Nothobranchius furzeri: one gene and its partner. The protein of the gene in region 1 binds, or shares a complex with, the protein of each later gene. Links are inferred from orthologs where the notes say so. Each region holds a gene or a part of one and is shown on either strand. Other genes may lie near its edges. The genes, in order: nrip1b and esrrga.

What was found.
Region 2: the proteins of nrip1b (region 1) and esrrga are in contact, whole or in part, in a crystal structure (PDB 2GPP), measured with the Homo sapiens proteins. The link is inferred for Nothobranchius furzeri from reciprocal best matches to the Homo sapiens genes NRIP1 and ESRRG. Residues at the interface, in NP_001426204.1 of Homo sapiens: Ser378, Leu379, Leu380, Leu381, Leu383, Leu384, Lys385, Ser386, Gln387; in NP_001429.2 of Homo sapiens: Val277, Ile280, Lys284, Phe289, Leu294, Gln297, Met298, Leu301, Gln302, Lys448, Leu449, Glu452, Met453.

What each region holds. Positions count from the first base shown.
Region 1 is NC_091750.1:42,800,857-42,805,233, reverse strand, and holds the start of nrip1b (nuclear receptor-interacting protein 1), read left to right. Parts: upstream 1-1,565; 5' UTR 1,566-1,792; coding exon 1,793-4,377. UniProt on the Homo sapiens protein: Modulates transcriptional activation by steroid receptors such as NR3C1, NR3C2 and ESR1. Also modulates transcriptional repression by nuclear hormone receptors.
Region 2 is NC_091749.1:33,701,828-33,706,150, forward strand, and holds the start of esrrga (estrogen-related receptor gamma a), read left to right. Parts: upstream 1-1,483; 5' UTR 1,484-1,894; coding exon 1,895-1,950; exon of another isoform or gene 1,951-1,954; intron 1,955-4,323. UniProt on the Homo sapiens protein: Orphan receptor that acts as a transcription activator in the absence of bound ligand. Binds specifically to an estrogen response element and activates reporter genes controlled by estrogen response elements.

The DNA of each region.
Region 1 (4,377 bases):
TCCTTTGACCATTATTTCAGCTTTAGCTTCAAGAAAGTTTTGTTGTAAACAACAAAGCGCGCATGTGCCGCCGGCTACTTCAGCTGATGATACGGTGGCTGGTAAGGGTCACCGCGCCTACACCGCAGCCACGGTAAACCCACCAAGATAATATAGTTTTTTAAAAAACAAGACGGTTATTATTATTGTCAACTTTTTTTTTTTTACCGGGGTTTACCGCTACACTGGTTACCGTGACAACTCTACCTGATCGGTTTGCTTTGATCTATTTTGAAAATTCCGATCAAAACCGATAGGGGCGCTATCGGCCGATTACGATCAAATGCCGATCCATCGGTGCATCCCTAGTTTTGGTCAGGTGTAGAGCAAAAAGGTGCAGCTCCTTCCTAAAAAGCAAATAATCTCCAATAGAAAATAAGAGGATGCTTAGACTTTTGCATTGATGTTACTAATTTTTTTAAATCACAGCTCATCAGATCTCCAGACTTGATCCTGTTCATTATGGCCCAGTAGTTGCTGCTTCAGAAACCTTGTGGTTTGATCAAGGGTAACTTTCCACACATAAGCGTGGCCCGGCTGCCCTGTCTTTAGCACAAAGAGCTTTGTGTCTTCAGCTGATCAGCCATTTAACGTTAAACGTGCTAATATAGGCTTCTGAGATGGAGCTCCTTGTGTCTGTGATGATTTTTCTCTTTGGCATTGTGTTAACACGCGCCTGAGCTAAGACCTTAATTATTAAAGACATTATGCAACAATTCAGATGTATTCACCTAATACTTTATACTTGTTTAATGCCCAGAGACTATTTCACGGTGTCCTCTGTGTTTTCAGACTGTATGTCCTCATACTTCTGCTCATTCGTGTATTTAAGCAAGCGTGCTTCTGTTGGTGGGTGGGTGGCTCTTACTGTAGCTAGATGAAGGGTTGTGTGGTTTTAGATGAAGCTCAATTGCAAACGGAGTCGGGGGGGGGGGGGGGGGGGGCTAATCCAGTGAAATGGCAAGCTGCATAAAGAATTATGCACAGCTCTCAGAAGGCCCTTCACTTTTGAAAGACACAGCCGTGAGAGGCTTACAGCTCAAGACCTGAATGTTTTCAAGGTAGTGAGCTTGAATTTTCAATTTGAATCCAATCAAGGCTCATCTACATGTGTTGTGTGTTGGGTGGCTGTGAGGGAAGAGTGCAGAGAGAAGGAGCCGTGTGCAGTCAATCTGAAATGTTGCTAAGTAACAGCGATGGCAGACAAGGTGGGGAAATGAATGTGATATAGTGCTCTGCAAATCCCTGCTTCTCACATGGTTTCCTATTTTTCCCCTTTTTCCTTCCCCCACCACCCCTCCCTGTTTTCTCTCTATCTCTCACTTTTATAGATCTCCCCCCTCAGCTGTGAGCTCTACAGAGACACCACTGACAGAACAACAGACAACCATGGAATGCGTCAACATCATGGTGGTGGATTCCTGCTGACTCCTCGCTTGCTACTGGCATCAACCTGAATCTTGGCCTTCTGGGGTCCTGCAGCGTTTATAGGCATACAGCAATGCCTTGGAGGGCCGCCTGCCCCAGATTGCTTCCAGGCATGGTTGCTTCTTCAGCACGTTGCTGCTTGTAGCCTCTTCAGAACGATCCAAGTCCAGCGAGCGCATCCTTCTGCTCTTCTCTGTTCTCACCTGGCGCCAAGACCGGCCCTCTTTCTGGTGACTAACCAGTGCATGACTGAACCAGATGACCCAGATCACATTTATTTTCCAGTAGCAGTGCTAAGCAATACGAGGGGATCTGAGTATTGAACATGACTCATGGGGAGGAGCCTGGCCCTGAGACACACAAGGATTCAGCTGTTCTAACTTATCTGGAAGGTTTACTGATGCATCCAGTGGTGGCCGGGCCTGGGGCCACAGCAGGCGGGAGGTCCGAGGCTGTCCACAGCAATCAGCAACAGGGCAACAAGGTGGGGGGGTCCTTCCCACTAACTCACCATGCTCCAATAGCGCCCAAGGCTGGAACTAATAGACCGACTCTGGGTTCCTCACAACACCTGAAGAAGGCTCGCCTGCTGCGCTCCGGAGCGTGGAATGATCCGGGGAACCAGCGGCTGAGTTCACCCCCCATGGACCTGAATGGCCAAGTGGGAGGCCTGCAAAACGGAACGCTGGAGGAATCCCCTAATGCTGGAGAGAGCACCCTGTTGGCATCTCTGCTTCAGTCATTCACATCACAGCTTCAGAATGTGGCATTGTCTCAGAACACTAGTAAACCCACCAGTGAGTGTCCATCTCCAGCCAAGGCTCCAGCTGCAGACAAAGAGCCCCTACCTGTTTATGGGACAGCCTCCAGCCGCTTGAAAGGCCTCATGCGGAAGAGCAAACTACAGAATCACAACAACACCCCTTACAGCCGCCGTGGACACAGCCAGGACCGGCCACCAGAGTCCCCTCGATCAGCACACAGCGCCACGCCTCCTGCTGCTCCTGCTGAGTCGGTGTCCTGTGCTGAGCGTTTGAAAGCAGTGGCTAACTTGGTGAAAATTCGTTCTAGCCCCGCCCCCTCACCAAAGCCCAGCGTGGCCTGCAGTCAGCTTGCTCTGCTGCTGTCCAGCGAAGCACATCTGCAGCAGTACTCCAGAGAGCATGCTCTCAAAGCCCAGCTCTCAGGGAGATCAGCCAGCGAGAGACTGGCTGCAATGGCCAGCCAGCAGCACGACACAGACAAAAGGCCTCCAAGTGTTGGGGGGTCTCCAGACACACTAAGCTCCTTAGCAACTCAGAATGGAATGACAACTACCACGATGATGGCAACACTCCCTCGGACGGCAGTGTCCAGTCCTCAGAGCCCATCCCTGCTGCGTGGCCACAGCCAAAGCTCCCCACCCGCTGCTCCCCACGCGCCGAGCCAGCCCCCCAGAGAGAAAAGAGGCTTTGATGCTCGTCCAGTCCGCCCACCGCAGACATGCAGCAGCTTGCTGCTGCTGCTGCTGAACAACCACAACAGTCAGAAGCAGCTGACCAAGAACGGACACCTGGAGGACATCGGTGGCCTTCTGCCTCCAAGCGGCTCCTCTTCTGTCACGTCGGACAGTGAATGCTCCACCCATGAGAGAAGCATGACCAAGGACAGCAGTGATGCTGAGAGCTCCTACTCCAGCTGTTCCCCAATTGACCTCTCCATGAGAGGTCGTGGCAGTGCTAGTGCACAAGACACTGGGCCCAAAAATGCTCCCTCTTCTTCCTCTTCCGTCACCTCTGTGCTCTCTTCCTGTACCATGGTGCTGTCTTCCACCCCAGCATCATCCTCTCCTCAAGCCAGTGCTCAGCCCTCCACTTCATCCTACTCACCTTCTTCTTTGACTGTCTCCTCTGTATCCACTGCTATTTCTTCATCCTCGTCCTCCTCCTTCCCTACCTCCTCCCTGGACAAGCTAACGGAGTCTTTAATAAACAAGTGGAAACCAGAGCCATCCAGATCAAACGTCTCCAACAACAAGGAGCCAGAAATGAGTCCGGACCTAAAATCCCACCCGAAGGTCACTCTCATGCAGCTGCTGCTCGAGCGCAGGAACTCTGAGATGGCTAGCAAAAGCAGCGGGACACAGGACTTGCCTCTTGACATAACTATGGCCACCATGTCTCAAAGTCAGCAGAAAAGACTGATGTCCTGGGAGGAGAGCAGAACCAGAAGCTCCATAGAAAAGTCAGCAGGTCCGCCCCAGTCCCTCTACTCTTTTAGTCAGGACCCGAGTGGTGCACTTTCCCCGTATTCTTACCCCTCCCCCCATGTTCAGTCCAGCCCACTAGATTTGTGTAAGTCTAAAGCCTTCCCAGCTGAGAGGTCCTCAGAGCCAGCCTTTAGTGCCAGTAAACTGTTGCAGAATCTGGCCCAGTGTGGCACCACCACCTCCTCCTCCTCCTCCTCCTCCACCCCGCCCATCCCCTCCAGCAAAGGCCTGGGCCAGGAGATCGACACCAGCAGGCCCCTGGCCTTGATGGAAAGACTTAATGCTCCAGTCCACCGGACCAGCACCACTCCACTGTCAGATGGAGCATCAGGCAGCGGCACACCTTTCATTCACAAGGAGCCGTCCACTCCCTCCTCACAGATCGAGAACCTCCTGGAGAGGCGCACTGTGCTGCAGCTTCTTTTAGGAACCGGGTCGGCCGGCAGTACCACCAGCCGCAAAGACAAGTCCAGTGGTGGTTACCGGAGGAGTACTGAGGCAGCTGGGGGGTGCTACGAGACCAGCCCTGCCACCACTGTCCTTTGTGACAGCTCTAACGAACCTATCTTAGATGTGAAGGTAAAGTCTGAGCTCACAGAGGAGGCGGGGCCACCTCCTGCCAGGTCTGAGGACTTTAGCAGCAAAAAGAGACTGAGTGGCTG
Region 2 (4,323 bases), on another chromosome or scaffold:
TAAGTGAGCAGCACCATGGGAACCGAACCTGGATGTTGTTGTATTAAACTTTAGCAGAAAATAAAGTCAATCATTTCACCTACATTTGTTTCCTGACTTCAGCTTTTTAAATGCACAATTCAGGTTTTAACCAGCAGAAAACATTACAACTGTTCATATTATTTGTGGAAGAAATAGAAAATAGCTGTTGTGCACAATTGTAAACACACACACACACACACACACACACACACACACACACACACACACACACACACACACACACACACACACACACACACACACATCAAAGTAGAGATTGGTTTCTGGAAATGTTATGTTATCTGTTCTTTCCAAATGTGCTAATTACAACCACTCCCTTTCATCTCTGCATCCCCCTTTTCCACCCCTCTGATTTAGTCTTTTCCCATTGTCTCTCTCCGTGCTGCACACTTCAGTCTTCCCAACCATCCTGTGTTTGATGGGATACCAGAGTCTTGGAAAAGTTACTGGGAAAGGATGAAATAAGAGAGGAGAAGAAGTAAACTGTGGCAAAACAGATGACAGTCTCGGTGAGAGAGCTCCAGTTTTTCTTTCCCGCTCGCCGTGCGTTCTTTTCTCGGTCAGCCTCTCGCTTGATGACCAACGCTGCAAACAGATTCTGCAAGAGATTCCAGTGTCCAAACATTCCAGCATGTTCAGAAATACTGCACACAAACAGCCTGCTGGTGAGAAGATGAAGGAGAGCTTGACAAAACAGCAAGTGGCGGGGAAAACCTTGTCCCAATCATGTCCAAATCATTCCACAACAAAGGACGCGCGTTCTCTGGAATTGCCGTAATCTGGTATTTTACTGCTGGGTTGTGATGGGGCTCTGCTGGGCTCTGACTTTCTGAGCATGTTATCGATGTGACACTTTTCTTGAGTTTCAGGTCAAGCTTGCACTTGTTCCTTTGATCTGGCAATTCTTTGGATTTGATTATGTCCCGTTTGTGCTCTGCATGCTGGCAAGCTCAAATCCGTGTTGTTTTTACCAGAAAGATGCTGCAGATCAAGGTGATCTCGTGTTTCCTAGAAAGCTAGGCTAAAAACTTCTTTAAAACAAATGAAAGTTGGGCTTTTTGTTTGTTTTTTCTGACTTTTCAGTTTTTAAAATCTGTTTTTGTTGAATGGTTGGTGTAGAGTGTGGCAGTGGAGACCAAAGGGGACACTGGATCATAAAGATGGATCATACCAGAAGTGCTGGTATTCTTGTTTCAAACCGTTCCCCTCACCTGACTCTTTCTTCTCCCTGCTTCCTTTCTTCCCTTCCTCTCTCCTCTCTCTTCTCCTCTGTGCTCTTTGTCTGATCCCTCCTTCTCCACCTGCTTTTCTCCCTCTCTCTCGCTCCCTCTGCTTCTCTCCACCCCTTTCTCCACCCATCCCTGCAGCCATTGGTCAGCTGTCCACCAATCACAGCAGAACGCGGACCTGAGGGACTGCATATGCAAAATCCTGCTTAATATTCATGAGCAACTATCGGAGCTTTAAGTCGTTGATTAGGACAGCAGCACAGCTTTCTGTCCCAACTGCCCGGCTGGCTGGCTGTGTATGTGTGTGCGCGCGTGTGTGTCTATAGCCCCTTTTCCCGGCTGTCACATACACACTGCACACACACGCTTCCTCACGTCTACACACACTCGCAGAGCCGATCAGTGCAGGCAGCGCAGACCAGAGCCTGGTAATTGTGTTACTCCCTCCAAGTGCAAGGAAGGACTGGGCGCGAGAGAAAGAGAGAGAGAGAGGGGGGACGACCAGAGACAGAAGAGGAGGAGAAAGAGGAAACATATCAAAACTTTGATTTTTTTTATTCTTTTTCGTGTTTTTTTGCCGTTTCCATAAAGGAGGTTGGCGTGACAATGACCCGGTACCGCTGATGGAGTCGGTAGGACATCCCTTATCCGAGTGTTTTTTAATGCACTCTGAACAAGAGTAGGTAAATTTTACCTTTTGATCTTCCCTTTTTTACTCATCAGCCAACTTGTCATTCATTGTCTTCTGCTGTGAGTGACTGCATGCAAGTTAGTGATTGTGTTTGGTGTGCTGGAATGCAGCATGTCAAGGTTGCTCCCGCTGTCAGGTAGCACAGGATCACTGTCCACGTGAGTGTGTGTGTGTGCATTTTTGTGACAATGCCTGTATGTAGTTGCTGTGTCCAGACAGCAGCTCTTATCTGTAGGTGGAGGAGCTCAGATTTTGTCCCTCCACCTGGAAGTAAGACACACACACACACACCTGACCTGTCACACACATTCAAACAGCCTACTCTTCACTTTTTCTGCCTTAAAACATTCTTGTCAGTAAAATTGTTTGAGAGACAAAGACCCAACTGAGTTAGGACCCGTGTGACTGCTGGTGTGTGTGTCCGTGCAAGTTCATCCAGGCAGAGAGTCAGCGAGGTAACGGGGAGCGACGGGAGGAGAACGGCCCGTAAGAACTGAGGGAGGAGGAAAAGAGGGAAAGCTGCGCTCTTAAATGCCGGAGGAGGTCAAATGTCTGACCGGCTGCTCAGCGTGTGGCCCCGCTCAGGAATTAGAGACAGTTCCTCTCAGACACTCTTCAGCTGCTCTTTTGAACCAAAACTTTGCTCTTTTAGGTGAAGATCATCCAAAAAGCTAAATAACTGCACACGACAGATATTATGCATAATTCTGCTCATGTTTACGGCTGTAACACACATGCACGCTAATTCTTCTGGCTTTTTTCTCTCAGACGTTAAAAGGTGAAGAATTTTTTGAAGCGATGGGTTGTAGAGTGTGACCGGTGACTGGACAGCACTCTTGTTTCATTTTGGCATCTCATCACATTTTAACATAATTTTATTGCTCATTTAACGTAAAATAAAACTTTAGTTTCTGGAAAAGTCTTGGACAAAAACCTAGAAACATTTAGGGAAACTAAATTAAAGCGTCGGTTGGAGCCTGCACAGCTGTCAAAGCCAGTGACACCAAAAAACAAGAAAATGACAAGAAATCCTTAACATTTAAAAAGAAAGTGTCCCTGTGAGCCGTGAACCTGGCTTGTCTTTGTCTCTCCGTGTGTCTCCTAGAACCCTTTTTCCTTTACAGCAGGTCGGATAGTTAGAGACCTTTAACAGAGAAGATCTGACGGAGAAACGAAACACTCATGTTGTCTCTCTTCTTTTGACTAAAGCATGCTAAAGCGTCATTTAATGTGTATTCTTAATTTTCCCATTGAGATTTTTAGATTTGAAATGAGATTTTTTCATTCAAACTATATTTAAACATTTACAAATGGCAGTTTTTAGGATGTTGTTGTGAAGCAAGGTGTAAGAATATGATTTTTTTTGTGAATCATTTGAAACGTAAACACAAATTTCTGACGCTTCTGTTTACAGGAACACAATCCTGCTGATTGGGTTCTGTCTCAACTGCAGAACAATGCTTTTTAACGTCGACTTGAGCATTAAAGTCAGAGTGAACCTTTAATGAGGACAACGTTTTTACATTTCTGGATGGGGAGACGAGTGATGCACATACCGTGTCAGAAAGAAAGAGTGAATGTGGAAAAATGCACATGAATGTCCCAAAATTCTGCAGCAAGATGTGCCTGTTTAACCTGTGTGTGTGTGTGTGTGTGTGTGTGTGTGTGTGTGTGTGTGTGTGTGTGTGTGTGTGTGTGTGTGTGTGTGTGTGTGTGTGTGTGTGTGTGTGTGTGTGTGTGTGTGTGTGTGTGTGTGTGTGTGTGTGTGTGTGTCACCTCTCAGGTTTTTTTAGAGAACCCTCTGGTCCAGTCAGCCGTCTGTCCGCTCCTTCATCCCTCCATCCATCGATCCATCCATCTGTCCACCATTCCTCTTTTTCTCCACTCAGGCTTTGCCTCCTTTTCCTTTAAGGCGCTGCGTTTCTAATTAAAATATTAAGGATAATGATGATCATGCCGATAATAATAACAAGTACCGCTTAAGCAGTTAACATAATTGCATTCCCCTCATGTCACCGTATACATACAATTTGCATGTCATTAAAATGTGTGACCTTAGTGAATTTGATGTTTTTTGTCAGTGGGTGTGAGGTGAGCGGACCTGTGGTGAAAATTGCACAGCGGCCGTGCAAATTGTTCAGGCGCAGATTTGCAGCGCGATTATGAAAGGAAGGGCAGCAAAGTGGTGATTTCTGTCCGGAACCGGTGTCAAACGTCCCTTTTTCACTATTTAATTAGTTAGATTTTCAAATGAAAATACTGTAATGATTGTGGAGAAATATGTTTTCTGTTTAAGGATGCAACTTAACCAAGTCAGGATCTTGACTAATATTAGAATTTTGTAAAACACCAAACATAAAT